4 linked regions of the Drosophila melanogaster genome follow. The protein of the gene in region 2 purifies or fractionates together with the protein of the main gene of each other region. This does not show direct contact. Each region holds a gene or a part of one and is shown on either strand. Other genes may lie near its edges. The genes, in order: RpL7-like, Rbm13, Noc3 and RpL24-like.

Region 1 (8,082 bases), on a different chromosome or scaffold from region 2:
GATCGCTAAAAAAAAAATAAATACGTACATACGATAAAAACTAAATTCTAATCGACGCCAATTTTGGTGATGAGCAATGCTAAAATATCATACAAACGGCACTTAAAACGGTTTCAAATTTAACAAGTTTTCAGTTTCACGTTTTTCGAATATCAATTACGAGTGTTTTTTTTTAACTAAATGCATAAATTCTACGGTTGTGGTACACACATATATGTAGGCCTAGTTAATAGCCTCATTCGATTCGATAATGGTGGTATTGAAGATGGCCCGGCAAATCTCCACTACGGAATTGGACAATCGGCCGTAGCACTTGGGCTTCTTTTTTCGGGCGATGAAGGCGTAGTAGAACGGAATGCCAGCCAGGGTTATGCCGATGCCAATGAGCAGATTTTGTGGCTCCTCCAAATTGGGCAGCAGTACGAGTGTCACGCAGCTTACCATGAAGGTGATGGGCAGCGCAAGATGGACTTTAATGGGTCGGGGCAAGTCGGGCCTGAAAGGAATACACATTACACATTGGGTTCAGAAGAAGTCAGTGATATCACTCACCTCTTATGCCGGAGCCACAACATTCCGGCTATGCTGGCCACCACTGAGAGCCAGAGCACCGAGCTGAAGTAGTTGATCAACTGGTACACGTTATCCGTGAGCAGCATGAGCAGCGACATAAGACACTGTGGGAAAAATGCGCTTACATCAATGCACAATTCTCTGCTGATAGCTGATTGGTGCAAAATGCTCATGCCAACTCACCGTGAAAATCAGGGAGGGAATGGGCGTCTGTTGTTTCACGTGGAACAGCTGGAAAAACTTGGGCAAATGCCCCTCCTGAGCCCCAGTAGCGAAAAGGCGCGCCGATGTGAAGAGCACCCCGTTGACGCCACCAAATGTGCTTAGCGCCACGAAAATGGGCACCATGAAGGCCAGCGGTCCGAACACTCGGTTTCCAAAGGTCACCGCCACGGCCAGCGAACTGAGCATCTCCGGCTTGTTTACCACGGCGAAATAGGCCAAGTTGACCAGAACATAGATGCTCGTGACCAGGGGCATGGCTATCCAAATGGCGCGCGGCAGATTCCTGCGCAATGAGAAAACAAAGAAACCGAGATCAGTTTTATACAAAACAAAAACTTCTAACTACTGTTTTTGCAAATAACTACTATCTTTAATAGTTGACTATGATGTTTCATTCGGAACTAAAACATTAAAAAGCTTTCAGGTAAAATAAGAGATATCTTATCACTTTCGATGACCGTTGATATAGAAAACATTTACCTTATACTCGAAAAAATCATAATTGGTTTGTAATAACTAGAAACATCAGAACTAAAACTAATCTACGGGCTTTACTGCGCATAAGAATTGAGTTTCCTACTTGAAATTTGTTTCAGTGTGTCAAAGAACGTGCTATTCAGCGAGAAAGCCACTTGGCTGTGCAGGGAGCGTAGCACTTAAATTGATTGCAAATTGAATTCGTTAGGGATGAGGCAGCATCCCCCACCCACTGGGTGGTATTCTAGGAGGAATGACATCAAGGACACTCAACAAGTTTCCACTTGTTGCTGCCTGCGCATGACGCACAAGGAATGAATGAGGCAAATAAACCCAGCCCAACCCAACCATTTATCCTTGTCACCACTACTCACTTGTATGGATCCTGTAGCTCCTCCGTCACAAAGTTTAAGTAGTTCCAGCCACCAAAGGCAAACAGACCGGAGTAGAAGGCGTAGCCAATGTTGCGGGCCGTGTAGATACCCTCCCACGGATTTCTGAAGTTCTCCAGCTCGCCAGTGGCCATGTAGTACAGTCCGGACAGGATAATCATGATGAGGGCCAGCAGCTTGCCCACCGTGAACACATCCTGCACTTTCATGGACACCTTCACCGACAGGCAATTGATTGTGGTGAGCAGAGCTGGGAGAGTGGGAGTTTCAATTAATTAACATTGAGTGGATTGTTTAACCAACTTACTTAGACATATGGCAGCCAGCAGTTTCACCGCATTCTGTGGGGGATCGCATTCCGGAAAGAATGGCTTGACCGCATAATGGGCAAAAGATAGAGCCACAATGGTCTAAAAAAAAAAATAAAACAATGTATTCATACTATAAATCCCACATGCCATTTGTTTCTAGCGGAGAAAGCTGTCCTACTCGTAATTGAATTCAATTCCGGTCGAAGGTAGCCGCCCATTAATAAATTTCTATTTATTTGCATCAACAACCCATCGATCAATCAAGCCAAATAAGTAAACATTCCGTAATTCAATTGATGAGTACTATAGGAACTGACCTGCGTGGTTGGCCGGATGATGAGCAGTGCGATCCAGAGGCGAAGGAATCCCACCAGCGGTCCAAAGGACACCAGCAGGTAGGCGTAATCCCCGCCAGATCTTGTGATGCATGTGCCCAGTTCCGCGTAGCACAGAGCTCCGATCGTCGATAAAATGCCGCAAGTCAGCCAAATCAAAAGGGAGCTTCCCACGGATCTGAAATGATTTAAAGTAGTCATCGAATCAATAAACAATTTGAATGAAAATAAACACTCGTAAACAAATATGGTCAGGGAATACATACATATATATATATATAAAGCAATAAAAATTATAAATATAGATCTAATATTAACTCGGTGGCAAATATTTGTAAGCAATAATAGTAAAATGGTATTTAAACAAAACATCTAAAAAAAACAAGTGCTGGGGATTAGCTTTCATTTCGATAAAATACTTTTATGAATTTAACTTCCTGGAATTTTTCGCAGCCGCCTTAAGCTTATGACGCACACCTTTTTTTGTGGCTCTTATCAATAATTTAAATGTTTGGCGCGCCTTATTGACGTTATTCTTGTGACTGGAGACAATTCGCTTAAAAAAAAAAAACACTTTAAAAAGCTGACGCAATATGTGGGCAGAATTTCAAGGTTGAATCTTTGAGGGAAAATCGAGAACTAATAAATGTATCTTAATTGGTGCTAAAGGAATGCCTGCGACAATCTATCCATTAATTAACAGCTAAATTGACCTTTTTTGTGCATAAATTGAATTAAGGAGGATGCTCTGTATCACCACTCACTCGGTGTAAATAAAGACTCCCGTGGGAGCAATGAAGATGCCCGATCCAATGATGGTGCCCACTATGATGGCCACTCCATTGATGAGTGTTAGCTTCCGCTTGAGGACAATCTTCTCCTCGCCATCAGCGGGATTTGGATTACCCGGCGCGGCGCATCCATTTGTGGGCTCGACCAGGCTGGTGGTCACTCCATTGGCATATCGGTCCGTCATGATGTCTGCACTGTGGGATTCTTCTGCTTACCCTCTTCTAATGGCGAATAGCGCACATTGTCACTGGAATGAAGGGTAAAAGTTGAAATGTAGAAAAAAAAGCCTTCATTACTATCAGCAAATGGGGCGCGAGCACGTGTTGCGCAAATTGTAAACAAATGCTATAGTGCTGATTTTAGTTACTAATTGCTAGTGAAGAAGACCCGATTTTTGCCTCGCTGGCAGCTAACTAATCTCCCATTGTCAGGCATAAACTTGAATGTTTCCCCGACGCCACTATCTTCGATACACGAAATTTAGCTTTAAAGTAGGGTGATTTTTGGGGTTGGCATGTTGTGGTGTGTAGCTGCCTAATGGGGAGCTCCACTTTTATGGTGACGCCTTTGCCGCGTGCCAATTTCCACGATTTCGTCATCACCTTACGACGCGTGGCAATGAATTTTGCAGTTGCAGAGTTGCAGTTTTTCTGGCAATTGCTCGATTGCTTTTATTCGCTTCTTTTTTTTTTTGTTGGTTATTCGCAAGGTTTGGAATGCAGTTTGGCTGATTAATTTCGGTTTATCTTGTTCCCAGCGACTTTGCACGTAAAACACGATTTATTTTACCTCGAGAGCGCGGACACAACAAAACGGCTTTGACTGCGAACAGCGACTGTGCGTTGGCATCGAGACCGGCATTTTCATACTAAAATTAACGCAATTTTCACCCTAAAACGCAGTGAGAGAGTGAGAGCAGCAAACGGAGAGAGAAACAGAGAGAGAGAGAGAATGAGTGTAAAGAAAAAAAATGAGAAATGAGTGCTCAAAACCGGAAATTAATGTCAAATGGTTACTTACAAGAAGAAAACATTAAAGCTGTCCTCTTGAATGCTAGCTAATGCTAAATTTATCTTATGGCATAACTATTAAGCATAGTTTTCAGTTGAATAATACAATTTCTTAAATGTTCCCGCCAAAAATTTCAAATTTGTTAGCTATTCACCACGAAACGCGCTCAGCTGTTGCACACATCACTTATCGATAGCAAAGCACTTATCGCTCCGCGCCCACCTCTATCCTTTTTAGTTATTGTTTTGGTGCTTGCACGTGTTTTAATTTACTTCGATTAAAAAGCCAAATACCAGCAATGTCAGACAAGTGAGTGATTGAAAAACTATAAAAATGTGTTGACCCTAAACATTATCTTATACTTTTGATCCCTAGATATGCGGTGCCCAACAAATTGCCCGGCAAAACAGTGTCGGTGCTAAAGCATCGCAAGAGGAGAATTCTGCAGGATGAATCTGTTGTTACGCAGAAAAGAAATGACCGCATCAAAAAGAGAACCGCCACCAAGAATCACCACAAATTCCGCCGTGCCGAATCCTTCGTAATGGGCTACCTGAAAGCAGAGCGCACGTCCAAGCGGATCAAGCAAACCATTCTGCGCACCAATGTCACCGAACAAAGTGCCAAAGCTGCCGACGATTCCAATCCCAAACTGCTCTTCGTGATGCGCCATGCGGGCAAGAAGATCTTCGACAAGACCACCGCGGATATATTCCGAACCCTGCGCATGGGCTCGCGCCACAACGCCGTCTTCATGGAGAACACCAAGGAGAACCAGTTGCTGCTGCGCGTTATCGAACCCTTTGTAGTCTACGGCAATCCCTCGCTGAGCTCCATTCGCGAGCTGGTCTTCAAGAAGGGCTTCGCCCGCATCGACGGCAAGAAGACGGCCATCCAGTCGAACACCATGGTGGAGCAACAGCTGGGCGACAAGGGTGTCATCTGTCTGGAGGATATAATCCACGAAATTTGCACAGTGGGTCCAAACTTCGCCGCTGTAAATGAGTTTCTGTGCGCCTTCACGGTTGGTTAACAACTTCTCTTTTGCAATTCTTAAAACTATACTATTACCGCCATTTGGTTTTTTCCAGTTGTCCAGTCCCAGCAATGGTTGGCAAAAGAAGGTATCCGTCTCGTACAAACGCGGTGGCGAGTACGGCGATCGTGGCACTGCCATCAACGAACTGATTGCCCGCTGCCTGTAGAGACCCTAGCCTAGTAAACCCTTAAGTGATTGTTCAACCTCTATAACCCATTCTGTAGCTAAGCCCAATACACATCTATATACAAACGTATTCTATTTGAGCGTACTTATTTAACGAAGAAAATAGATGGTCAGGTCAGCACTATCGTGAGTTTACTGTATGCCTATAAAAGCAATCCTGCGACTATTAAGGAACCACATGAAACTGTCTCTAACGACATTCCTCATTATTCTACATGTTTATCAACATGATAAACTTCACCCACGAAACAAGTTCTTTGCTTCTTGGCCTTGCGTGTCCCAGCCGAGTTCCCAAATTGAACAAACCAGAGAATCAACTTTCTGCCTCGAATAATAAATAAGTCATAACCGAGGTGGCTCCTCGCAAACGAAAGGTATGCCAAACTGAACTACTTGTTGCCATGAAGGAGGAACTGTTGTTTTTCGATTAGTCGGAGTCAGTGCCACTAACCTAGTGCAACTCGGGTCGTCGTATCTTTTGTTCGGATAAAACTCCAGGGACTACACATTGGAATTCAAAATCCTTAGATTCAATTAATTCTCAATGAATTCAAGTTTCAACAGCGAGCAGTTGGACACCGACCGCGATGGACTGCAAAAAATTCTGGCCCGATCTCTCAAGGAACCCATTCTTGGCAAGCACTTTGCCCTGCCTGGCCGCATAGAGCAGAGTCCACCCATCGAACTGGACACCAGCCAGAGCTACATTGCCGTCTACACTCATCTCAAAGTGCACGCCACCATGATGCCGGAGAGATTGCCCACGCCGGAGGCAATCGGACGAATACAGGCGGAGAACTTGGAGGCAGCGCCCAAGGCACGAAGTTCAAAGACCCGCTTGGATCCCTGCTCAAATATAAATTAAATTACGTTGGGCATCAATAAAGAAAGTATTGTTATTTTATCTTTTGGTATCCCTTAAATTTAGTAAAAGAATATTAAAATTTTTTTTTTTATTTTATTAAATATACATGTTCATAATCCTTGTAGGCATAAGCTTCACATCAAATTCGTGTTGAATACATCCTCCTATCGGTGCAGATCTTAGTATCCTTTTTCTTGAAAGTAATTAATATGATGCTTTTCGTAGGTTGTTTAAATCGCTACTAGGTTGATAAGTATAAGACAATTAATGGGACCGCATGTGGTGCTTTAACAATCAATATTGGGTTCATTCTTGAATCCATAAAAATCATGAGAGAAATGTAAAATAACCAAGTGTTTATGTGTCATCCTCACTCCTAATTCTGCAGGATACGCACGGCGTTGTACATCTGGCCAATGATGGGCAGCTGCTTGGACTCGCGCCGGCAAAGGTATTTGTAGGCATGCGACAACAGCCTGTCCAGGGCAGCCACATCGATCTCGTCGGGCTTGGTGGCCGCGATCTGAATGTTGTTCTCCGTCATCGGTTCCTTCTGCGTAAGCGGCGTGAGAAATGGATCAGTACTGCGAATGATATATGCGCTTGCAGCACTTACCAGGTTGTCTAGGTAGGCCAGCAACTGGTGGCCAACAGAGGCAATCTTCAGGAACGTGGACTGCGAGCTCTGTGCGTAAAGATTAAGTCTACGGCCAGCGATCTCCAGCAGCAGTCGGCCCAGCTCCTCGTCATCGCTGATGTCCTGGAGCAACACTTGAGCCTCCGCATCATACCCAAAAGCGTACAGTTCCACCACCTGGAGGAGGGAAAAATATTTGGAATATATTTTCTATTCCATTGTGTTTCCTCTGTTGTGCTCTCTACGGAGCAAACTAACGAACTGATGTTGAAAGGCAAAAGGGATTGTAAGCTCCCTGTCATGTGTGTTCATGGGTTCCTAGATTAGGAATTCTGGGATCATATATGTATGTACATTCTTACCTGCCGTCGTAGGATAGGAAGTTTATCGACCTCCCAACTGTCGGCTAAGGCACAGATCTTGCCCATGTAGAAAACATGATCGAGAATGTACAGCTGCTCCAAATCCTCTCTAATCAGATCCATGGTAGCGGTGACAAGGCGACACAGGAACTCAGTGCGCTGCTGTTGCAGGACAAGATCTGGTGCAGGCAAAACATAAGGCAGTTCCTTATTGATGTCCGCCAGCAGAGCTTTGTTGCTCATGGAGTCAAAAAGCGTGGTCAGTGGTTTTGGAATGCGCAGCTGGAAAAAGGAAACGAAGTGCAGCACGCTGCACAGTTCTGTTTGAAGACGGAGCAGCTGCGGCATGGCATGGTGCTGCTGGAGAGCCAGAAACTGCAATGGCAGGGCTCCTTCGCTGAGCGACTGCTCGAAGTGCAGTTCACGCTTATCGTGCTCCATGGAAGCGGTGAAATGCTGCAGGAATTCGAGGCTGAGTTCTAGAAACTCTGGCACTTTACCCGCAGACATCTCGAGATCTTGCTGGCACATCTTGTCCACTGGCAGGCGTCCCACTTTTTGAATAAGCTTCGCCGCCGCCTGTAGAGGAAACTTCAGGGTGGCATTCCACAGCATGCAACATATTCCATGCTTCAGGGCCCAGTCAGGTGTACGGAATTGGTTTAAACAAAGTAATGCTGCCTTTAGGTGGTCCAGCGATGAGAGCTGCTTGCTCCACTGGACCATGTACTGCCACGACATGAGACTTAAGAGGACGCCCGATTCCAAGCTGAAGGGAAAATGCGCACGCAGCAGAGCCAATCTTTCAAGAATAGGTTCATGGGCTTCTTTACTCGCCGCGTACACTTCCTTTGCCATTTCCAAATCCTCTTCTGAT
Region 2 (8,151 bases):
ATTGATACAATTAAGTATAAAAAATCACAATTGTCATTTAATTTGGTAAATATTATTAAACAATGTATATCAAATAAAAGATGTTAGTATTAATCGATATCTTTCGATTATTTTGTCACGGCGAGGCACGCAGCGAAGCGCTCATCTCTAGCTTCAGCCTCCTCTTCAAAACCCATAGAACTGGCAAAATAAAAAAAAACGAATCAAGCGCTGATTTTACCGAATCTCTTTACTGAATCAGCATATTATCATAGTCCATATAGTCCGGCGTTCGAACGGGTAAGTTGAACACTAAACGGGAGACATGGGAATTATTTAAAATTCGAGAAAAATCGGTGAAAAGGAAGAAAAACAAGTGATTGCATACAGTTAGTTACACACACGCGGCGGCCGTTACTCCTTGTACATGTGTGTGCGTGTCTGTTCGCGCTTCCGAATGTTTGTGTTTTAGTGAAGCGGCATAAGCGTGCATTATCTTGTACAAATGTACGCATTTCTCCATTGCCAACATTCGCTTCACACACAAATTACTCGTTTTCCATGCTGGAAGTGCCATCTTAGTCTATTTCCCAGTTGCAAATTGGAAAATCAAAGAGCGTTCTGCTGGCCAGCATGTGTGGTGCGCGTGTATTGGTGTTGCGGCGAGAGCGCGAGCGAGATGGGGCGATGCGTTGCATGCGGCAACAGCATATCTCTTCCATCTCTTTCGTTTTTGTTCTTTTCCTTTTTTTTTTGTCTTTTTTTTTTTTGCTGACAGCTCTCTATGCTTCTAATAAATATTTATGCACAATTTTTGCAGAGCTGGCGAAGTAAACTTCAACTTCGAGAGTCTCGGAATCTTTCGGACTTTGCTATAGAAAAAACGCTTGTTAAAAAAAAGGATGTAAGTGATGAAGATGAAACGTAATGTAATGAAACGCACACTAGTAACATACATACATACATATCGCTTGAGTACATAGATCACCGCCAATAACATTAATGTTCCATTTTTGCCTTGCAGATCACCATGTCGCACACCATCCTATTGGTACAGCCGGGTGCTCGTCCGGAGACCCGCACTTACTGTGACTACGAGAGCGTCAACGAGTGCATGGAGGGCGTGTGCAAGATCTACGAGGAGCACCTGAAGCGCCGCAATCCAAACACTCCGACCATTACGTATGACATTAGCCAGCTATTCGATTTCATCGACACAATGGTGGACATTAGCTGCATGGTTTACCAGAAGAGCACCAATACCTATGCGCCCTACAATAAGGATTGGATCAAGGAGAAGATCTATGTGCTGCTCCGTCAGGCGGCATTTAGTTCCAATACCTAAAGGGACGGCGATGCGACAAGATACATACATATAAAACCAAATAACACGATGATGCATGCATCAATGCGTGCAACACTAACGACAACAACACGTTGATGTATGCAACAATGCGTGCAATAGCAACTACAACAACAACAACAATACGAGGATACATGCAACAGCGCTTGGAACAGCATCCGCAACGGCCACAACACCATAACACCAATAACACCAACAAGATGAGGAAGAAGAAGAAGATGATGATGGAGTGGTGGGGCATCGATTCCATTGGAGACTTGCTGCTACCGACTAGATCGCCAAATGACAGCAACTTTTTTTTGCAACATAACGCAATGCAAAAAAGGAAAAGGAACACAAAGAGAACGATAAACTGTATAACTTAGAAATGGAAAACTTACTTTAAACGTACTAATATATATATATATATATAAATATATATATAGGCGTATATATATATATATACTGTATATACACCCAACTGACAACTGTGTGTGTTTTTGTGTGTTTCAATGTTTTTTTGTGCGGCAGCCACAGGTGACGGTTGTTCTTATCGATAGCGAACTGTATGTTTGTTTGTTTGTAAAACCGAATGGCAAATTTGCAAGTGTGCATTTTTTTTTTGTATGTTTTGCCGTGTGTGCTAGCTTAAGTCTTTGCAATCTATCGAATAATAAACTAACACATCAGGACACACTGAGCATATATAAACATATTTGTAAACTACTGATTCCCCCCCCCCCCCTTTATCATTTGAACTTAGTTAAACAACAACTTTTAGCCCGCTGATTTTGCACACCGATGGGCTTTGTGGCGTTTTAACGGCTTGTTTTAAGCAAAACAGAACCTTTGGTCGCAGATGCGAAATGACCTTGAGATGCTGGTTGTTGTGTGTGTGGTGAGGGGGGAGGGGTAGGGGTTTGTGGGTTGTACCCCCGCCAGATATTCAATCGGATAACGAACTTGGACCGCCGCTGAATCGCTTGGCCGCACTGCATTGAACTTGGCGTGCGATATTTAATTAGCTCCGCGACAGCATTTTGTTAAATATATATATATATATATATATATATGTATATATGCACATTTAGTGTCGACTTGTGGATGCTGCTTACTAGCGTTAACTAGCAATAAACATAGTGTTTATAGTTTACCCATTATATTTGCTGAATATTAATGATCACTAGATTTCTCATTATTCAGACAAATATATTTGTTTGTGAAAAAAGCATTTGCTACAGCAAACTGTACAGTTTATTACAAAAATATGTATATATATTTTCAAAAAAAAAAAAAAAAGAATTTCTCCTATTTAAAGTAGTTTGCTTGCCACGCAACTCCGCGCTTTTTACAGGGTATGCAATAGCGCTACAGCTGCGTCGAATATGGTGCATAGTTTTTTTTTTTAGAATATTTTTCAAAACTGGTTTTAAACACTGCATTGTCGCCACACCGCCCCGCACCGCCCACTTTCAATGTCAGTTAGCCAGCCTCGCTTTTTGGCCAGAAAGCAAAGCGAATGGGATGCAGATGAAGTGCATCCTGCATGAGATGCATTTTTCGGTCATATAGTGTTGCACTTGTCTAGTTTTGTTTTTTTTTCTTTCTTTTTTATGTAAAATACTATTCTTAACCGGCTAAACAATAAGCGTTAACAGCTAAGTGGATTGAGCATGGGGGGGGGGGAGAAATATATATTGTGGACCTGGCTAATGGCGCATCTGCCGCTGTGCCTCCTTCTCCACCTCATACTCGTACTCCAGCTGCAGTTTGGGCTTCGAGCGGCTGCGTCGACTGTTGCCCGCCGGCGATTTCTTGTCCTTCTTCGCTTTGCTGGCGGTTTTCTTGGCTGGCACTTTGGTCTCCTGTTAGAATGCAATTGTTCGTTTTAAGTTCGGTTTGGCAATTGGAATTTAGTTTTGTTTCGTTTTAGTTTTCTTTTTTTTGGCAATTTTCTGGAGCTGTTAGTTAGCGCGCACTGAATGGAAACCGACGCAACTGAATGAAAAGCGGCGAACGGCGCTCGGAAAGCTTTATTCTCCAAGCTCCAAGCGGGCAGAACTCGTTTGCTATTTCTAATTATGGTAATTTCGGAAGAAGGTGGCAGGATTTAAGCAATTGCCAACTATTTACATACTCAGAATTTTCAATATTAAAAGAAATTCATTGAAAAAGGATTTGGAAATCGTTAAATGCTCCAGAAAACTGCCAACAAAATAAAAAAGAAAAGCCTGATACATGACCAGAAACACTACCTCAATATCATCTGCATCCGCATCGTCATCCTCGTCGGACTCCTCGAAATCGCTGCCCACCTCGACCTCTTCCCGCTTGCCGGAATCGCTGTCGTAGTCGTCCTCGTCATCATCATCATCATCATCATCATCCTCCTCCTCATCGTCCGTATCTGCCTCGACGAACTCCTCGTCGAGCAGGGATCTCTGTACTTCCTCAGCTTCGCGTGAATCGTCGCCGTCCACCTCCATTTCGCGCTCCAGCTGCTCCTCATTCTCGTCTTCGTCGTCTAGCTCCTCCTCATCATCCTCGTCCACGCGTTCCGCCTCCAGAGCCTTGTTGAAAGCGGTCTGCGAAAAGTTGTAGATGTCGCGATAGGTGCCATTCTTCAGACGATCCATCAGCGCCTTCTCGATGTGATTGTCGATCTTGGCGGCCACCAAGGCCTTCTCCTCGCGCCGCGCCTCCCGCCGTTCGATCTTCGTCGATAGCGGCACAATGAGCTTCTGGCGGCGCAACTTCAGACGACGCATTCGTATCAGATATTGGGTGATCTTGAGGAAACGCTGCTTATTCTTGGCGATCATGTATTTGGGCCAGAAAACCAAATTCTCGTTGATCTGTTCGATGGCCTTCTCGAAGTTTCTGGACAACTTGATCCTCTCCCACAATTTGCTCGGCATATGCGCTCTCTCCGCCGTCTTGATGAACAAATAGATGATGCCCTTCTCCTCGCGAACGGTGGCATATTGTGAATTGGCCAGCGGACACGTTCTGCGTGTGCACAGACCCGTGAGATTGTACTCATGGCGGCAGAAGGTGCGTGTGTCGGTTCTGTGTGATTTAGATTGCCATTGAATACATAAATTTTCTACATAATTATAATTAACTGCATTTCAACTCACTTCACTTTGTGCGAACAGAAGGACTTGTTGATGATGCTCCAGACCACCTGGCAAATTGATAATAATCTGATTAGGACACCAACAAATGTGCATATTCATACACCTGCTACTCACATCGTCGTGCTGCATGGCGCCGTTTTGTTATTAACGAAATGCCTTCAATGATAAAAAACAACCAACTTACTTTGAAACACGTGCAAATTCAACACACAATATTGCGCTATCGATAGCCGTGTGCCGCCGGTTGGCATTATCGATAGCACCGATGACAGTTGCAATCGCCAGCGTGGCCAGATGGCAATGAATTCAAATTTCTTATATTCCAATTCCCAATTTATATTGAGAAAGAAAAAAAAAACGCACTTTTGTGTGTTAATAGCTTATAAAATTAGAGCAAGTTCTTTATTAGCAGTAATGTATTACGTGTCTTCATCCATCTGGCAAATGAAATACAATTTGGTATCACAATTAAATTCGGACATATATTGGGGATCCACCGCAACGCAGGATTTGCTGTGATTGGTTTTATAACTATGTCTTTGGAATATCGTTGATTGCTTTCCAGAAGCCAGGGATACGAACTTCTTGGTTTTCAAATCATTTATACCCGTCCAGTACCACCAGAACTTCAATCTTGCCTGAATGGTCTTAAGTTCCTCTTCGTTCTTAAAAGCTGCCAAAAAACCGCCGAATTCGCGACATGCAGCTGCCGCATCAGCCCAGGAAATTTCCACATTATTTTCTATATAGAATGATCGCTTGCCAATTAACGCAAACTTCTGTGGCAGAGGCTCCACTGTAGTACTGGAATACATTTCTAACAGACTTTCGATTTTGTTGCTGGATATTTGAAAACGGGATTGCGTTCTATTGCGAAACGCTTCCTGTTGGGCATTTTTTTTGCTGTGCAATTTCATTTGCTGGCTGGATAAATCCGTTTCTTTGTGTGAAATCGATAAGATTCTGTCCAATTTGGAATTGATTTCACTCATTAAATCAATCATAGAAAGCTGATTGGCTAGACAGGTTTCTTTTTTATGCAGTGGCTTGCCCAAGGATCCTCGCAAAACCAGGACGATCAATAACACAAAATATGAAAGCTTCATCATTTTAAGCACACACTGAAGAAAAACTTAAAAATAATAAATTTTTTTAGTGAAAAATTATTATTATTTTACTCTGCGTTGTCGCATCGATCAAATCTGAAATAGTTCTAAAGAATTCCGATGTATTCTGCTCGAAATACGTAAAAACTCTTGATTCATTGGAAAAATATCTGATAACGAATGTGAGAAAATACCCATGAATAAGTTAAATTTACATACTCATGATTAAGTTGTATTTATATGTGTGAGAAGATATTCTTACTGATAATCTTACAGTTTCCAAAGCTGGTTTATAATAATGCGAATGTACAATTGTAAAATTGTAACAATCAAATGAAATATTTTAAAAATCACAACAGTGTGGCCACCCTTGGGTAGTCGCCAAAAAACAGCTGATTATAAAAACGGCATATAATGAGCAGAAATAAAAAAACAAAAATTAAGTAAATATAGCAAATTAAATCCTTTAACTTCAAAACAAAAGCATAAATTTAAAATATATAAACAGTAATGCCGTTAGCTCGACGATCTGGCAGCCCTGCGGACAGCCGGCACAACAGCTGATTAGAGGGAGACAGCACGAGGCTGCTGGTGCACAAAATTCGACTCTTATTTATATATTTTTATTTTCGCAATAGAAGGCGCAGCAAAGGCGGCAACAGTGGGCGGGGCAAGTAAGCGCTGGCGGAAAACTCGACAAAGGAAAATTCAGCACACAGTTTGCGTCCGATCAAAGTGAGAAACGTGAGCCAGCAGCAAGATGACGAGTCGCCAGCGAACTGTGATCATATTCAAATCGGAATCGGAAAGCAGCGATGTGTACGCAGAAACGCTGGAGAAGCACGATTTCAATCCCGTCTTTGTGCCCACGCTGAGTTTCGGCTTCAAGAATCTCGATGAGCTGCGCGCCAAGCTTCAGAATCCGGATAAATATGCCGGCATCATATTCACATCGCCGCGCTGCGTGGAGGCCGTGGCTGAATCCCTCAATCTCGGCGAGCTACCCGGCGGTTGGAAGATGTTGCATAACTATGCCGTCGGCGAGGTGACCCACAATCTGGCGCTAAGCACCTTGGACCAGCTATTCACCCACGGCAAACAGACGGGCAATGCCCGGGCATTGGGCGACTATATAGTGGATACGTTCGATGGATCGCGTGCATTGCCGCTACTATTGCCATGCGGTAATCTGGCCACCGATACGCTGCTATCCAAGCTGGCCGAGAATGGCTTCTCCGTGGATGCGTGCGAAGTGTACGAGACGCGCTGTCATCCCGAATTGGGCGCCAATGTGGAGAGGGCATTGGAGATTTATGGCGAGTCGATTGAATTTCTTGCCTTCTTCTCGCCATCGGGCGTCAATTGTGCACAGCAGTACTTCACCAGCCGTCAGCTATCGATGGACAAATGGAAGCTGGTGGCCATCGGGCCGAGCACTAGGCGTGCCCTCGAATCGCTGGGCCAAAAGGTTTACTGCACCGCCGAGCGGCCGACGGTGGAGCATCTGGTCAAGGTGCTGCTCAATCCGCAGGACAGTCGGGAGCGGTTGCTCAAGGAGCGCGAACGGATGGCCGCCATCGAGAATAACAATTAATCCTAAGATTTCTTAAGCTTTCGCAGCTCCAACGGCTAATCTCCACAAATCATCATCGGATCTATCATTTATATGGATACAAATCCAAGTGGGGAGTTCTTATGGCCTGAATCTTTATAGTTATCCACAAGTAACTATGATGAACACAATCTGTAATTTCTATTTTATAAAATAAGATTTTCCATCATCGCATTGGTAGTAACAATTTTGAATAAGTTATGTAGAAAATTTCGAGCTTTGGTTGTGATTCGATTCGATTGATTAGTTATCTTTATAATTTCGAATACCTGTACAAGTTTTTCTCTATCGATTTGAAATCCAAGGATGGGTAATTAGTTTCCTGATCGAAACGTAAAAAAAAAGACTAAAACTCATGGTTTTTTTTTTTGTTTTTCTTTTTTTTTTATTTCGATTGACCTCCGAGCGAGTACAAAATTAGCGGCATGAAATGCCGACGTCTTTATTTTCTGTTTACTATTGGATTAAGCTGAATAAATTGTTTCTTTTCTAAATTTAGTTGGTCGTCTTTGTGGGTCAAATAGCAAATAGGAGGTGGCAACGAAGTGGAGTAGAATTAAGCAATTACAATTAAATTTAAACAATTTGCTTTGGAGTTTTCACTTGATTCTATTATTGGGGTAACTTTTTAATTTTTTTGTAATAACTTTAAAATAAATCATAAAGAGCACTTTTTTGTTTTCCAGAATTATTATTTTTAAATAATTTGTTTTTTTATATATTAATATAAATCTACACAAAGAAAAAGGAATGAAAGGTTTTTTCAAATTTAATTATAAATCGGCTTTTGAATTTATGCAAACAGTGGCAACGCCTGGCTTGAAGATTTACACGGCGCTGCCAGATCGATCATTTGCGAAGCGGCAACCTTCCACGCGATAGTATCGATTAAGGTTCCATCTCCTTTTGTTTTTCGTTTTGGCTCTTTTTTTTGCGTTTATTTGATTTTTCCTTTCGTTTGCGAAGCAACAG
Region 3 (8,830 bases), on a different chromosome or scaffold from region 2:
CTAGTTTGTATGCTTAAAGTATAGTTAATTTGATAAATGCCCCGATTGTCTGTAAATGCAATAGTGAAGCTTTTGACCACTGTGCCCCCGATGTAGGAGTAGGAAGCTGAAAAATAAAGATCGCGGTGCAGAACCATCTAAGCCGCGCTATCAGCTCCCAGAATCACAACGTACTTGGCCTTAATAGGGGCTGCGAAACTCTTCGCTGCCATCGCCATCGATGGCTGCCAGGGCGTTCATTTCGATTTGGTGCGTCGCCAGTTCCACAGCTCGGAGCAGATCTTCGCCAGATTCCACGGACGGTTAGAAAGCGTTAATGTTGGCCCGTCTCTTTATTCCAGTTTTGGTGTTGCTCTGGAGTGGCGGATTAGCCCAGTTGCAAGTCCAGGTAAGCTATAAGGAGATTCTCTTTTCTTAACTGTAATCCGCGCTTTTATAGGCTCAAAGTGGATACAACTATGGGCGTCCCGAGGTAGCCAATGTAGGAGGAGCCACAGCTGGTGGTCGCTTGACACCTGCACCATATCCAACAGCACCAGCCCTGCCACTTACTCCCGCTCCGGCTCCTACTGCATATGGAGCAGGCTTGTTTCCCTCACCCGCTGTTGGATTTACGCCAAGTGGACAGGCTACCACTGCTTTTGGAGCACCCGCCATTGTAGGAGCCACAAACCCCGTTAACCCACCGAGAAGAACTTCATCTGGCGGATTATCTACCCCATCATCTCGCAGTGGACCCTATGGACCGCAGGCTTCGCAGTATGGAGGTACTCCCGGTGGATCTCCAATCCGAGTTGCTAGTGGAACGGGAGACAGCGGGGACTACAACGATTCCGATGGAGACTACTCGGCCATTCCGGGTGTTCCTGGAGTGGATTATCCTATTTATGCCCAGGTGCCGCGCACCAACTTTGACTGTGCGCAACAGCCCCTACCCGGCTATTATGCGGACATAGAGGCCCAATGCCAGGTGTTCCATATCTGTGCCCTCAACCGGACCTACTCCTTCCTGTGTCCCAATGGCACAGTCTTCAGCCAGGAGACATTAGTCTGTGTGTGGTGGAACCAGTACGACTGCGTTTCGGCGCCCAGCTTATATGCGAACAATGCCTATATCTATGATTACTCCGAGAGAAGTGGCTCCAATCTGAGAACATCGAATACCAACAACGTCTACCGTCCGGCCGCTTCTTCCTCGGCTGCCTTCGGGGCACCTCTGGCCACGACTGGAACACTTCGAGCCACCGGAGTGTCTCAGGTTGCTGGATATAACTCCGGCCGGGGGTCCTATCCTTCAGCCACGCCCACCCCAACCGCTCAGCCCCAAAGCCCGTATGGCGCTGGGGCTGTCCTTCGTCCCGCCATTGTCCCGAGCACTGGAGCCAATCGATTACCGCCATCGGGAGCTGCTGTCGGGCTTCTGGCCACTGCCGCCGGAGCTCTTCCCGAGAGTTCAGTGGCTGGATTCGGGCAACAGCAGTCGGGCGGGAATAGAGAGTATCTGCCACCAGCTAGCGTTGGACAACAGCGACAACGAGGAGGCACCAATGCATAGGTAGCGAATGAAAAATTCTGGCGAACCCCTGGGACTTGTACCCGGTTATATGACACTACTCTTAGTGACTCTAGACTTAGCCTCTATATAGAATGTTAGGAGCTCCAAACATAATAACTTGTAAAAATCCCATTAATTGAAATATATTACAGAGAAGTTCTAAGCAAATGAATGGTTTCATGTTTTAAAACCAACTCGCACCTTTCTGATTTAACAACAAATTTGTTCGATTATTATCTGGCTAATCAAATCCTGGTATCACACTTGGTATTCTCTTCCTTTAACTGAGAACGTATTTGGAAGAATGTTTAATATTGGGAAACAAGTTGGGTATTGTTTAAAAATTGCATTTCTTTCCACACTATTCCGCAGTCATTATAACTCTACTTCAATCTTCAAATTTTTCTTTATTGAAGTGCACTGAAAAAATCAATTTGTAAGGTTTGTTTATCCTTCGTCTGTGAAACTTTTCCTTGCTGCAGCAGTTTTCCGTACTCCTGTTTGAAGTCCGAGCGAATATATAAGTGTTTGCCCCTTTTTAGTTTTGGTTGACCCGCTTTTGGCAGCGGTATTGTCGGATTGAAAGCCATCTGAGTGCTGTCGAATTGCGTAAACAGCTCGTGGGAGGTACTAAGGAAAGTAATAATTGTTAGAGTCACATATGTAGTTGCCGTCTTATTACATACAGTTTGCCAATTTCCGTGGGCAAAGCTCCCTCGCCCGTTGCTGGCACTCCATGAGCAATGTGAACGGCCATCCGTCGCACCGTGGGATGATAGTGACGTGCCAGAAGCGCAAGCTCATACAGCGCTGTGCTTGCTGCGTTACAGTACTCAGGATCGTCCAGTTCGGGATCGTAACGACCAGAGCCTATCGTAGTGTCTGTATCCAATAGGTTGTCAAGCACAGAAGTGAGCTGGAAGGTTTGTTTTATTGTGCCAAGCGTGGCCAGGGTGCCATTATGGAGCAGATGCAGACTTCCAGTAAGCAAGCGTTTCATGAAGGCCATTAGACGCTGCTGGCTCATATTGCGACGACGCTTTACGAGCACCTCATCCAAAGTTCGCAAAATAATGGCGAAGTCATCGTGATTTTTGCCTGCCTGCACCGCCAGCATATTTCGGTAAAAGTGCTGGTAGAATCGGATGGGGTCGATGTTTAGCACCTCACCCTGGCCGGAAAGGATAACGAATATGGTCTGAACACAGTGCAATCGCTCCCGGTAGCCCAGCTCGTCTTGGTCCTCTAGAATGCGGTTGAGCACATCGATTAGATCGGAGAAGAAGTCCAAATTAATGACGTGCGCAAACCTAAAAATCATCCTCTATATTTAAAATTCCAGGAAAGAGATTTACAATAACCACTCACTCTGCCAATCCTTCTAGAATAGCGCTCAGCACGCGGGAGGTGGGATCGTTCTTAAGCACGCGGAAGTAAATGGTAAACACCATCTTTATGATCTCGGTGAGCTTCTGATGCTTTGCTTGCTTGTTTTCCTCGGCACGGGTTTCCTCTAGTTCTCTGTTAACCTCGGTGAGCTTCTTACGTCTTTTGCGCTCTTTCTTGGACAAGCTTAGTAAGCGTTGACGATGCGACTCAAGCTTCTTTTGCTTTAGCTCATTCTCCTTTTCGGCATCTAGGTTTACGTTCTTGATTTTAAGGCCCATCAGACAGGTGATGCACTCCACATGAACATTGTTCTGCTTCGTTTTGATCAAGTGATTGATGCGTCGCACTATAAAAAGAGTCATTTCTAACCGTTTGTCGTTGGAAAAGACTGTGCGGAAGCACTGATGGACCGCCGTTCGCATCTCTGCATAATTGCAATTCAGCATATACACCAGAAGCTGGGCAATGTTTTGAACGTAGTTAAAGTATGGATGTGCCACAAGCAAGTCACACATGCACTGTACTGCCACGGTGGCCAACTTCACAGTCTGAGGCGTCCTTAGACCACCTCTCCTGTTAACTTGCGCTGTGATCTGTTCCAGTTTCTGCAGGAACTTTTTAAACTGTTGAAGCAAGGCGTTTTCAAAGGTTACACGATCAAGAGTGGCCTTGCGAAGCGTCTGCATCTTGGTGTCGACCTGACCCACTCGATACTCGGGCAAGATATCTTTGAATATCTCGGTGACAGAGATTATGGCCAGCTTTCTGACGGCCATTAGGTTGGCCTGTCGACTGGCTGGGTTGATTTCGTCCATGAGTTCGTACAGAGCATGAAAGTTGCGCATCTTATCCTCTGGCTTTTCGAGCAGCCCGGAACAAATGATTCCAATGCGATACTTCTGGCGTTCGATCTCCTGCTGCCGGGCAATAAGTAGATCCGTGGTAGAGATAAGTTTTTGGACGGGAGCGGCGGTGGCGGCCTCGACATCATTGACCACATCGTCATCGCTGTCCTCATACTCCGTATCACCGTCTTCCTCGGAATCATCCTCCTCTTCTTCTTCATTCTTCTTTTTCTGCTTGGGCTTAGGTATGTAATCCACCTCTGTCGTACGGGTGATAATCTGACCATCCCTGGACTTGATTGGCAGCAAATCCAACTTTATTTTTTGCGCGTCCTGCTCTTTTTTCGTGTCAGAGGCATAGGCCCTTTCCAAGCCGATGGATTGTCCTTGGTCAGGATCATTCTCGCCGGTCGTCTTGGCCTTTCGCTTGCGTTTGTTAGCCTGGAGCAGGGCAAGATCATCGCCATCCAGCATGTCCGCAACGTTTTCAAGCATCTCATCGTCGCCATCCTCGTTGTCTTCCTCGAGCGGATCCAAGCCCAGGGAGGCCAATTTGTTGTGCTTTTTACGCTGTGCTAAGTTGTCCCGCTTTCTCGCCTTTTGGGAGAATATATTCTGACCCTGTTCGCGCTTCGATTTCAGTTGGTCGCGCTTTTGCTTCTGTTTTTGTTGCTGCTGCTTAGAAAGCGGTGTTTTTTTCGACTTCAGGTGAGCAGCCCGCTTGACCGAGCTGATTTTGACCTTTTTCTACAATGATTTGGATTAGAATAAGCATTAAATAATTTTACTTTCCACTTACAGTTCCCATTGCACCCGTTTTAGTCAACTAATAGTTAATTTTCACAAATGTTGCCTTCTGAATGGGACGAGCACATGGAACGCCAACGGAACTGTCCACTCGTCAGCGGAGCGCAACAGCTGCTCAGAAGCGGATAGTATTTTGTTTAGTATCTTACATGCGCTTACTTAAAATACTTTGTTTTTGAAGAAATAAGTAAATGACACAAACTGGCTGTTTTTTTTATCACTAAACAGAACCAATACTATAAAATACAATTTTCGGAACTCAATCTTCATAGCAGAGATATCATTGTTATTATAAATTATCGAAATAATGCTGTAGATAACTATGCAATGGTCACACTTAAGTGAGAAGTGTAAACAAAACAAACAGATGTCTGACGAGGAGGAGGATTATATGTCCGACAAATTCCTGGTTGGGTGAGATTACACTCACACCTAACTAACAACCAACCACCTTATGAAAAACTCTCATCCTTCCCTCATTAGTCTGCAAGATGTCCGACCGAGTTTGGTGCACAATCGCGGCAGAAAGCGGCAGATTGAAGTCGAGTCCAAGAAAGATGAGCTGAAGAAGCGCCAACGGGAGACAGCAGCTTCTTCCGGGAACGTAGACAATGTTCGCCTTCAACAGTCCCTCAACAAACCAATTTCCGCCGACAACAAAGGATTCCAGCTACTGGCCAAGATGGGCTACAAAGCCGGTTCTGGGTTGGGCATAACTTCGGATGCTCGTACTGAACCCGTGGGGATAACTATAAAGAGCGGTCGTGGAGGACTTGGGCGCGAGGCAGCCGTTGCAGAGTTGGCCCTCAAGCGGCAGAAGTTGCGGAGGGCACATCTCCTAAACAAGGCCGGCATTAAAAGCGACGAGGAAGTCAGTACAGAGGCTTATAGGAGGCGCGCGACCCATAAAGCGGAGGAGCGAAAATTACAGTATGACATAAAACGGTGCCAGCAGACCTGCGAATCGTTGGATCTTAAGTCCGCTATCACAGAACCAGATCTCGATTTCTTTTGGCCACCTAAACCAAAAGATGAAGATGAATCACAGAGCGACGCCGACGATCCTGAAGTCGAGGTGCCACCTAAGCAAGAACCATACAGTCCCTCGGAGCAATTAGAACTCCTCACTGGCTACCTGCGCACAGCCTATTGCTTCTGCTATTGGTGTGGGACCCATTACGATGACGCCGAAGATCTGGGCTCCAACTGTCCAGGACTCACTCGTGACGAACACTAGCTCCAATCAATAAAATAAAATAAAAAAACTAGCTTGATTGCTTACACATAATTTCATAAAATCAGCAGGTTTAAAATATTTTACAATAAGTAGTCAAAAAACAGTAAGCGGTGTATCTGGTTTGGAGGAATGTCTATAAATGAGTTGTAATCCAGTTAGTGGGAGCTACAAGCGACCCTCCAGTTTCTGTATCAGATCGTGGGTCCTTTCGATAACACTAAACACGAATGGCCGTTCCATTGGATCTGTTCGCAGCATGTACTTAATTAATTCGTGCATGTCCTAGACAAATATTTGGAATTAGTTTCCTTTACAATATAAAAAAAAGGTTTATTACCTCTGTGTAAATTGAATCCTCTGGAATGTTTATGTTCCCACTGAGCACAGCCAAAGCCACGCTGTCACCTCGCTCGTAGATGGGATCGTAGGGTGAATTAAAGTAGCACATTGCATAGAGCACACAGCCAAGACTCTGAAAGAGGGAAATGTTAAGGAAGAACTTCAATAACGCTCTCTTGGATCTGCTTTACCCATATGTCAGTGCGCTCGTCAATTGTGCAATATGTTTTCACGGTAAATAACTCTGGAGCCCGGTAGACAATGGAGCTCCTCTCCTCGGCTTCGTCCTGCAAGCGCTGAGCATCCGTCTGGCCCACAATCTGCAGTCGGGCTTCTGTCATTGACCCGAGATCCACAATAATTGGCTCAAAAGAGTCCGACAGGCAGATGTTGGCCGTTTTTAGATCTCGGTGGGCCAGAGGCACCGGCATTGCCTCGTGGATGGCCTTCAATCCCTCGCAGACGCCCAGAAAGATTTGCAGGATCTGGGCCTCGGGCATGTGGTCCTGTTTCCGCGATCGCAGCTGAAGGTGGTCCGCAAGAGATCCGTGCTTGTAATAGGGAAGCACAATGAACAAGGTGCTCGTTGTGTTTATAACTATGTCCGCCTGGCCCTTCAGCTCGTAATCCACTACCCGGATCACGTTTTCCGAGTCAATTTTTCGACAGTTTTCGATTTCTCGCAGAGCTATATTCTGATCATCGATGCTGTGGCAGGTGATGCGCTTTATCGCATAGCTACGTCGCGTGGAGGCGTTTTCCCCAAGGTCGATTAGACTGAAGCCCCTGTTTAAACACTCAGATTAGATATATCAGAGGAGATAGTGGGAAAAATGTGGTACAAACCCCGTCGCCAGCCTTTCGCGGATTGTGTATCGAGATCCGTTTATGTTCAGGGTCTCCTTGCGGCAACTAAAGAGGCAGCCGCGTTTCATGATCAGCGTCCATCCTATACTCTGCATTTTTCTTAAATTATGCTATGTACTTCACAACTTTAAGCTTAACAACTAGTTCAATTCACATACAAAATCTAAATAGAAAACACAAAGCTGAAGTGGAATGTTTATACTGGAACGAATTTATGAAGTTCGGTGATTTTTAACCATATTTGTAAGATTCTATATTAACTTTAACTTTAAAAACTAGGCACTTTCGTATTATTTTTACGATTTTAGTTTCTTGACGTATTAATAAATTAATATTTATTTTGATTCCTTGGTGTATAGATTAAAGGAATTCAAGATTCTGTCATCGCATAATCGCAATTTCACTGCACTCCAAACAGCTGATTCGAAGACAGGGCGGTCATATTTGCCATGTGGCTGTGTGCGTTGCCACCTAGTTGCGAATTGTTGCTTACGGATTTCTTATCGTGCGGAATATAAACTTAGCATTTTTCTAATTTAATCAATTATAAGTATGGAGGATGACGCGTGGCTGGACCTCGTGGGCATCAGCGCCGATCCGCCCAACAGACGCAACAAGTGCGAGAAATGCAAGTGAGTGGTGAAGCTGGGAATCTGCCATAAAAATTAAAGTATTTTCATGAACTCTATTATAGACGACCCGTGGTTGTTTGCTGGTGCCCGGCTTTACCGCATCCACCTGAGGCGGTGTCCTCACAGATTGTTATACTGCAACACCCTGCAGAGGAGAAGAGATCGCTACGCACTGCACTGATGCTGCAGTTGGGTTTGGAACCGGGAAAATGTGTCGTCTACAAAGGCAAGCGGTTTCCAAACCATAGAAACCATGCTGATCTGCAGAGGATTTTGGACTCTCCACAAACACTGCTTCTGTATCCCAGTCGGGACTCGGTCCCACTGGAAGAGGTGGACCACAGTGCGGGTCCTTATACACTGGTGCTCATCGATGGTACCTGGCCTCAGGCTAAAGCCATTTACGCTAGCAGTCCGGCTCTACACCGCCTGCGACAGGTGAAACTCATCGCCGTGGGTATAAGTGACTACATCATCCGTACACAGCCTACTGAAGGATGCCTTAGCACACTAGAGACCGCTGCGCAATGCCTGGCAGTGCTGGAATCTCGGCCAGAGCTGAGGCAAACGCTCGTGCGACCGCTGCACACGCTGTGCAAGTACCAACTAGACAACGGAGCCGTGGAGCACCAGTCCAAGGAGTTTCTATTGAAGAACAACCAGTACCCCAAGCCCATTGGCAAGCGGCTCAGCCGTCTGCTTAGAAACACCGCCTGCGATGGCAATGAGGAAACGTGATAGCCGGGGCAGAAAATACCAAATAACTTGCAGGTGCCTGTGCTTTATAGCCAATTTTGTGTTCCGGTCGTAGCCGTATTTGATTTAGTGACGCTAACATTATAATTTTCTACTGATAAGTCCGAGATGTGACCTTTGATGTTATTCATACAGTGGGTTTGTTTCTAGCATCCGTGAGGGCTCTAGTAAACACGCACTTGACGATGGCATAGCCCCGCATGCAAGCATTCGTCTCGTCCTCTGAGGATTACACATTAAAGATTTCGTTTGTAATTAAAAAGTTCTGCCTAGAACACTCACTGCCTTCAGCTTCGCAGGCCTCAACGGAATCGCCAGTGGCTGGCCAAACATATTTGCGCACCAGATCCGTATTTAACTTATAGTCCGTCATCAAACCGGACTTTTCGAAAAAGCAGTGAAA
Region 4 (7,049 bases), on a different chromosome or scaffold from region 2:
TCTGAAGTGTGGTTTCGCCACCACCGGCGTAATGGCGGCCCACGGACTAGCCTGCCTTCGTGCTGGTTGCTATGATGCAGGTATGCTCATTCCTTTACCCTCATAAAGCTCCAAATAAATTAATCTCTTTTTTAGCCCGAGAAAAGTTTGCGCACTGCATGACTCGCCTCTCAAGTGAGCAGCTCAATAGCAGCATCTGTAAGAACATTTTCGGAGTGGCTTCTACGGAGGCAGTGCTCTTGCCCAGAAAGCGACCACAGCGCGGACCGGCACTGCTTCAAGAAATCCTACAGTTGATAGCCGCCATTCCTCAAGTTCAAACCCAACCGGAGACCCTTCACCGAGCCTCACTTATTCGTAGTTCGAATACTTCTCTGGCCTCACTTTTCACACGACGTCGGGAGCCCTACGTTCAGCCACGTCCGCTCCAGGAACCGGCTTTGAACATCATGAACGCGCTGGCAGGACTCAAGAACCTAGCCAAGGGACAGTATGGTGGCCAAATGCCAACTAGCGAGGAAAGTCGCCGGCAGGAGCGTGGCTTCGAGGAATCACTGCACTATGTGCTTACCTATGGGAGTCACGCCGATATTCTCACCTTTCTGATGCGCCGCGAAGAGCTGCGGGCAGCACTTCGCTACTGGCAGCACCAGCAGTTGGACGCGGATCTCTTTATCCATCACATATTCTACCCGCAGCTGGCCAACGGCGGCCTAAACGTTTTGATGGACGAACTGCAGCAGCTGGACGACGCTCAATTCACTGCCTGGCGTCTGCCACTACTGCAGACCTGTCGACATCTGGAGCAGCAGCAGCAACTCAGTTCGCTGTACCAACTGCAGCTGCTGCTAAAGGATCCCATCCGGGCCAGCATGACGTGCGTGAAGTTCTACGCCTTGCAGTGCGAGAACTTTCAGAAGCTGCATGCCAACGCCCAGCACTTGCTGTCTGCCCTCAGGCATCTTCAGGGTGAACTGGATATGGCGGAATGGGAGCACCTGCAGCGGCAGCAGGCTCGCAGAAACAGCGTGAGTAGCACAGCAAGCGTTCGAGGTGCCTGCTTCGCCATGCAAATGGATGCCAGGGCTCTCAATGGACACATCAATACCATCCGGCGACAGTTGGAAGTGGCTAAGTTCTTGGACAAGTGTGAGCGAGAACAGCCGCCAGATGAGCCACTACGAACTATACAAACTCTGAAGCAGGTACTGTCTTGAATTGCGTTTATTCTTTCTTTAACTAATACCAAACTTAACCTCCGCAAAGATTCGACTAGAGTCCAGTCGAGGAACTCTACCTACTCTGTTCGAAGGCGCCGCAGATCGGATACAAATTTGCATTCTGATCCTCATGTGCGGTAAGAACATAGACGAAGGTTTTGGCCTGGCTTACGGGTAAGCAAAAAGATAAAATCAAGACGACAATGTCAGCTATAATTGTTTTATTTTTAGCATTATGCAGGACTTCAAGCTGGCTGCACTTAAGGTGTTTGGAGCCACTGCTAAGTACCTGTCGAGAAATCAGCGCTTGGGTGAGGTAGAGCGTCTGCTGGACTGCATAGGAAGCAACAACGGCGGAGACATTTCCACGGAGTCCGATGAAATACTCTCGATTGCCATTAATGCTGCTGTGCACAGCAGTGCGCCGGAGACGAAACAGATGCTGGATCGGTTGATCAAACGCATCGGCAGCGTGGAGCTACGAGTCTCCTCCTACATCTACATTGGGCAGCTTAAATCCGCCTATCTGCTGGCCAACAAGCACGATCGATTGGCGGATATCCGGCGAATCCTGCGGCAGGCGGAGCTTACCGGTCAGGTTCACATCAAGAAACTGTGCGATATGAAGCTCCAGCTAAGCGCCGCGCCAACGCCTCTGTGATATCCCAACCCTCGAGCAATAACACATTAGTAACCCCTTGTTTCTGGGATTTACTAGCTGTGAGAAATACCAAATGATGAATTTGTAGCTTTGAAAACTCCTGCATTCTAAAAGACAATAACATATCTAAGCAAATTCTCAATTTTGAGATTTAGATGAATATATATTATTCGGAATTGGAATTCATCTTTTGATTATTCACCTAGTGAAGGCCCAAGTTGTTTTGTAACTGAGCTAGCATAGATAATTTGTTTTTAGAATTTAACATATATGTAGATCAATTTTAATCTTTCCAAAGGGCCAGCAAGTATTCCACCCTCCAGCTCAAAAAGACTCTCCCAGCATGTAACCAAATTATATTATTGATTGTACTGTATTTTATATTTATTATGTTATTTTTATATTATACTGTTATATGTTTATTACCCAGAAAATGCGCGATATTTTTGAATTCTTGGGGCGACGGTCAACACTGCTCGTGTCAAGTTTACCAGCACTGACAAAGATCTAAATAAGTGGTAAATAAATAGAATAATTAAGAAATGCGTGCGGTTATACAAAGGGTTAAGGCTGCCAAAGTGACGGGTATGCAGGATCAAATAGTTACCATCTATCATATAATTTTATACTGCTCCCCTAGTGTTGGATGAGCTGGTGTCCTCCATTGGACCAGGCCTGTGCGTGCTGGTGGGAATCAAGGCCAGCGACACCGCCAAGGATGTTGAGTATCTGTAGGTAAATTCCACTCTGGTGATAACCACCTTAGGTTTAGACCACCTAACACAGCTTACCATTCAAGTGTCCGGAAAATCTTGGCTCTCCGTTTATTCGAGGAGGAGGGCAAGCGTTGGCAAAAGTCCGTGAAGGATCTGAACCTAGAACTGCTGTGCGTCTCGCAGTTTACACTGTATCACCGCCTTAAGGGCAACAAACCGGATTTTTTGGCTGCCATGAAGGGCGAGGAGGCGCAGGAGTTGTACAATCAATTTTTGGATCGCCTAGGTCAATCCTACGATAGCACCAAGATTAAAGGTGAGTGATAGGAACACTCCAGCTGGTCATGTTTTAATCTCACTTACTATAATAGATGGCAAATTTGGAGCATACATGCAAGTGCACATAGAAAACGATGGACCCGTAACCATTAATTTGGAGTCCCCCGAACAAAAGGATACTGACAGAGAAGTGGACAAATGATTTGAAAATATATAACAACCAAAGACAACATTTATGTACCACGGGGTTTTTATATAATGTATTTTTTAGCAGCAACTTAAACTAAGAAAAAATCAGCGTACTCGTCCTTAGGCTTCTAACATCTCGAGATCCTCGACCCCCATTCCCTCCTCCAGTTTCTTCTCGAGTTCGCGTGCATCCACGTAGGTGATCTTCTCCTCGGGCAGATCCTCCTCCATGAGGGCGGCCTCCTCTGCCGCCTCCTGGGCACGTCGTTGCTTCAGCCCTGCGGCTGGGGAGCGAATCAGGGACATGTTGCGCTGCACATCCTTGACGTCCATCTGAATCTCGACCTGGCGACCCTTGCGCAGTCGCTCCATGACAAAGTGGCTGGTGCGTTTCTCCTTAATCTCCGTCACCCGCTTGATGGCCTCCAGACCCTTCTGCCAGGTCTCGCGGCTGTATTTCATGGGCACGTTGCGGCGCTTCTCGAACTCGAAACTGGGATCGATGGCCAGCTCCTTGCCGGCGGCCTTGCGGTACGCCTTCGTCCATCCTACCTTGCGGGGATTCTTCTTGCGCTTAAAGGCCTTGTGACACTTGCCTCGGCAGAACTTGAAGACCTGCGACGGAATATGGCGAAGCAATATAAACATCGGAGCACATGTAAACAGGAAAGCAAATCGTTCTTACCTTGCAGTCATTTCGCACGAATTGCACCCCGTGGCCCGGGTATATTTTGCTAGAGCAAAAATAGCACGTTTGAATGCGCATTTTCGCAATTTACGACGGATAAATTACGAAAACAAAACAAATGCGCAAGCTGCTAGCACGTGTGCTGCTGAAGAAGAAGAAATATGAAAATGTATCGGCAGTCAGCAGTGCGACCAGTCACTGCTTATCGATAACACTGGCTAACATGGAAAATAGCTAGATGTAGACAAAAAATATCCAAGCAAGAAATACGTATAAATTGCAAGTGACTGCGATACCAGTTGACAGTTGTATTGTTTTGATAATTTCAATTACCTTCGGTCTTTGTCCAAATCATGTTTTTCCCAGTATGTTTACATTAACTTAAACTGAATTGTTGCACCTGTTTCTCGATAACATCGCATGCGCTCGCCAGTTTGCACCAGCTGTTGCGCCAGCTGATCGCCCGCTCATGCGCTGGTCACACCGCCAGCATCCAAACAAACAGAGCAGCAGACCAAGAAAATCGGACACATCACCGCGAACGAGATCTTGCTGACGTGCGACCAGATGCAGAGCCCTGCCTTCGCGTACCGGGAACACGCAGAACACTCGCCGCGCGCCATGTACATGCGCGACTGGCGATCGGCCCTGCGGACGCCCACGTACCGGATTGGGAATCGGACGGTGCGCTTTAACTATCACTTCGCCCTTCTGATTGTTTGCGCCTTCGTACTCGTCCTACTCTTCTACTTTGCGCGCCAGGGATCGCACTCCTCCTCCGACGGCTACTGGCTGCGCCGCAGTTACACGGATGCCCGGAGTCTGGACAATGGTGGTCCAGTGGTCCAGGCCTACAATGCCACATATCCGCTCACGTCACCCATGGTGCTGCGTGGCGGTGTGATAAACTACCGGATAGCCATGATTGCCGATCTGGACACCAGTTCCAAGGTGAGCAAGGGCGATGGGAGCAGCACGTGGCGTAGCTACCTGAAGAAGGGCTACCTTACCTACACGGTGGCCAGGTCAGAGATCCAGATTAGCTGGGATGACGGGGCGCCGATAGTCCTGGAATCAGCATTTGCCCTTAAGGGCCGCGGAATGGAGCTATCTGAGCTAGTCACCTTCAACGGGCGCCTGCTCACCTTCGACGACCGAACGGGTTTGATATACGAGATTGTGAATGACAAGCCCATTCCCTGGGTGATCCTGCTCGATGGAGACGGACACAGTGCCAAGGGCTTCAAGGCCGAATGGGCCACAGTGAAAGAGCAAACGCTGTATGTGGGCTCCATGGGCAAGGAGTGGACGACAAGTGCGGGTGATTTCGAGAACAATAACCCCATGTACGTAAAGGCCATCACTCCGTCCGGCGAGGTGAGGTCGCTCAACTGGGTGGACAATTTCAAGCAGTTGCGCCTGCAGTCGATGCAAATAACCTGGCCGGGCTACATGATCCACGAGAGTGGAACCTGGTCAGAGGAAAGGAATCGCTGGTTTTTCCTGCCTAGGCGGTGTTCGAAAGAGAAGTGAGTAAGCGTGTCAGCCTTTAAATCCTTAACTCATCGATCTATCTTTGAAAGATACAACGAAACCAAGGACGAGCACATGGGCTGCAATGTCCTGGTCTCCGCCGACGAAAGCTTCACCAACGTTGAGACTGTACGGCTCGATCCTGAAAATACAACGCCCACGCATGGTTTCTCTAGCTTTAAGTTCTTGCCCGGCACCGATGACTCAATAATCGTGGCTCTTAAGTCGGAGGAGTTGAATGGCAAGACGGCCACCTTCATCACAGCCTTCGATATTGCGGGCAAGACACTGCTGCCCGAAACGAGGATCGAGACGGACTACAAGTATGAGGGATTCGAGTTCATTTAGCTCGCCATTCCAAGCTACCGCACTCCACTCTACTTCGATCCAGGTGCTTCAGTTTTAAACGTGTACATATTGTATTATTGTCCCATACGGTAAGCTTTATATTTATAGTCACCTAGATTAGTCCAGAGATGCTCATCTGCCTCATGAACCGTGACTCCTTGTCCCGTCTTGTACCATAGCACAAAAAAAAATTTTAGTTTATTTTTATTAAAATTGAAATATAAAACGTACAAAGCCGGTGGCAAACTCAGAAAAGCCCTGCATCACGTTTCTTTAATCTTCGCATCCAATCCGGCCACCATAAGATCGGCTTTATCGATGCGACCCTCGCTGGCGCGAACTTCCAGTCGATCGGCATTGTGGTTGACATTCCAGAGTTCGGGCAAAAAGCGGGGCTGCATTGTGTGCAGAAAGTGCTGCCGCCATAAGCGCTCCAGCTCCACCAGGCCGCCGAAATGATCGCGATATTGCTGCACCACCCGCTCGCCATGCTGACAGTAGTCGGAGTTTTCTACGCGATATTCCACGCTGGCTGCTTGCCGCAGGAGATCTTCTGTGATGTCCGTTTGATCGGAGTAGTAATCGAGGAGAGTCTTTTCCATTTCGGCCTTCTTTGCAGCGGGTATTTTCGCGCCATGATGAAGTAGTGCCTTGCCAGCGGATTGGACTCGTCTGGAAATAATAAAATGCAATTCAGATTCATTGAGAACTCTATGGAGATTAATTTTATCATATATCAGGGTATGTTTTGGAAAGTTAGGTGATAAAAAAGAGGCAAAATATGTCTGGTAAGATAACTGATAAGGCAATCTACATTCCTCGCAATGTATAATTTACTTTTACTTTTAACTTAGTTCTGAAAATGTATGGCATACTTACTTGAGCTGCGGATCATCATGGTACTTGACAGATCCGTCTTCCTGCTTGAAAGGAGCTTCGCACTGCACGGCCAGTTTGCTGCGAACCCTTAGATCCGAGATGTTGCTTAGCTGGTGGCAGGTTGGGCACAGGAGCAGCACATCGTCGGAGGTGTGAGATTTCATGACCAATGGGAAATGCTTTCTGTATTCCCGCGGTACCACGTTCTTCCGAATGTACGCATCCCGGTCACCACACACCACGCACTGGTTTTTCTTGATTGTTTGATAGAAGCGCCCCACATCTCCGACCGCTCGACCCGCTGGCTCGAAGTTAAGGCGGACAGTGAAGGGCTCTTCGCTTATATGCGTGCCCAGATTTTGATTGAGATACCAGGACGCCTTGCGCCTGTCAATTGTACACAGGAGTTCGCCATCGGGCGCCTGCAGCAGGCAGTTATCGTAGAAGTCTTTGGTTCGGGTAGCTATTTGCCGGTACGGTTGCTTCTTGGGCACCCATTTATTGCTTTTGGATTGGGTGGAGCCCTTTGAACGAGT

Evidence for each region.
Region 1: the proteins of Rbm13 (region 2) and RpL7-like purify together in Drosophila melanogaster (affinity purification with mass spectrometry, with the first as the bait; one large-scale study listed by BioGRID). This does not show direct contact.
Region 3: the proteins of Rbm13 (region 2) and Noc3 purify together in Drosophila melanogaster (affinity purification with mass spectrometry, with the first as the bait; one large-scale study listed by BioGRID). This does not show direct contact.
Region 4: the proteins of Rbm13 (region 2) and RpL24-like purify together in Drosophila melanogaster (affinity purification with mass spectrometry, with the first as the bait; one large-scale study listed by BioGRID). This does not show direct contact.

Annotation. Positions count from the first base shown.
Region 1 is NT_033779.5:12,052,008-12,060,089, forward strand, and holds RpL7-like (ribosomal protein L7-like), read left to right. Parts: upstream 1-4,340; 5' UTR 4,341-4,414; coding exon 4,415-4,425; intron 4,426-4,491; coding exon 4,492-5,140; intron 5,141-5,207; coding exon 5,208-5,321; 3' UTR 5,322-5,885; coding exon of another isoform or gene 5,886-6,206; 3' UTR 6,207-6,244; downstream 6,245-8,082. Other genes in the region: JhI-21 (juvenile hormone Inducible-21), read right to left, coding at 223-496, 553-677, 757-1,081, 1,650-1,917, 1,975-2,077, 2,296-2,491, 3,078-3,289; CG34164 (uncharacterized protein), read left to right, coding at 5,886-6,206; Rab3-GAP (Rab3 GTPase activating protein), read right to left, coding at 6,583-6,759, 6,823-7,020, 7,206-8,082.
Region 2 is NC_004354.4:8,898,237-8,906,387, reverse strand, and holds Rbm13 (RNA-binding motif protein 13), read right to left. Parts: upstream 4,690-8,151; 5' UTR 4,591-4,689; coding exon 4,576-4,590; intron 4,509-4,575; coding exon 4,462-4,508; intron 4,391-4,461; coding exon 3,577-4,390; intron 3,187-3,576; coding exon 3,031-3,186; 3' UTR 2,627-3,030; downstream 1-2,626. Other genes in the region: e(r) (enhancer of rudimentary), read left to right, coding at 1,010-1,324; Uros1 (uroporphyrinogen III synthase 1), read left to right, coding at 6,328-7,161.
Region 3 is NT_033777.3:7,242,287-7,251,116, forward strand, and holds Noc3 (nucleolar complex protein 3), read right to left. Parts: upstream 4,684-8,830; 5' UTR 4,598-4,683; coding exon 4,589-4,597; intron 4,537-4,588; coding exon 2,924-4,536; intron 2,866-2,923; coding exon 2,242-2,865; intron 2,186-2,241; coding exon 1,963-2,185; 3' UTR 1,946-1,962; downstream 1-1,945. Other genes in the region: CG14607 (uncharacterized protein), read left to right, coding at 342-388, 440-1,555; CG10053 (uncharacterized protein), read left to right, coding at 4,964-5,010, 5,080-5,833; CG1227 (uncharacterized protein), read right to left, coding at 5,999-6,115, 6,171-6,305, 6,364-6,958, 7,019-7,134; Dtwd2 (DTW domain containing 2), read left to right, coding at 7,592-7,671, 7,734-8,409; Obp84a (Odorant-binding protein 84a), read right to left, coding at 8,555-8,649, 8,710-8,830.
Region 4 is NT_033777.3:11,427,659-11,434,707, forward strand, and holds RpL24-like (ribosomal protein L24-like), read right to left. Parts: upstream 3,925-7,049; 5' UTR 3,832-3,924; coding exon 3,751-3,831; intron 3,681-3,750; coding exon 3,186-3,680; 3' UTR 3,082-3,185; downstream 1-3,081. Other genes in the region: Sptz (spastizin), read left to right, coding at 1-80, 136-1,205, 1,267-1,394, 1,452-1,881; Dtd (D-aminoacyl-tRNA deacylase), read left to right, coding at 2,424-2,466, 2,522-2,612, 2,681-2,913, 2,969-3,078; CG5276 (uncharacterized protein), read left to right, coding at 4,321-5,282, 5,337-5,634; Exd2 (exonuclease 3'-5' domain-containing 2), read right to left, coding at 5,898-6,306, 6,514-7,049. UniProt on the Drosophila melanogaster protein: Involved in the biogenesis of the 60S ribosomal subunit. Ensures the docking of NOG1 to pre-60S particles.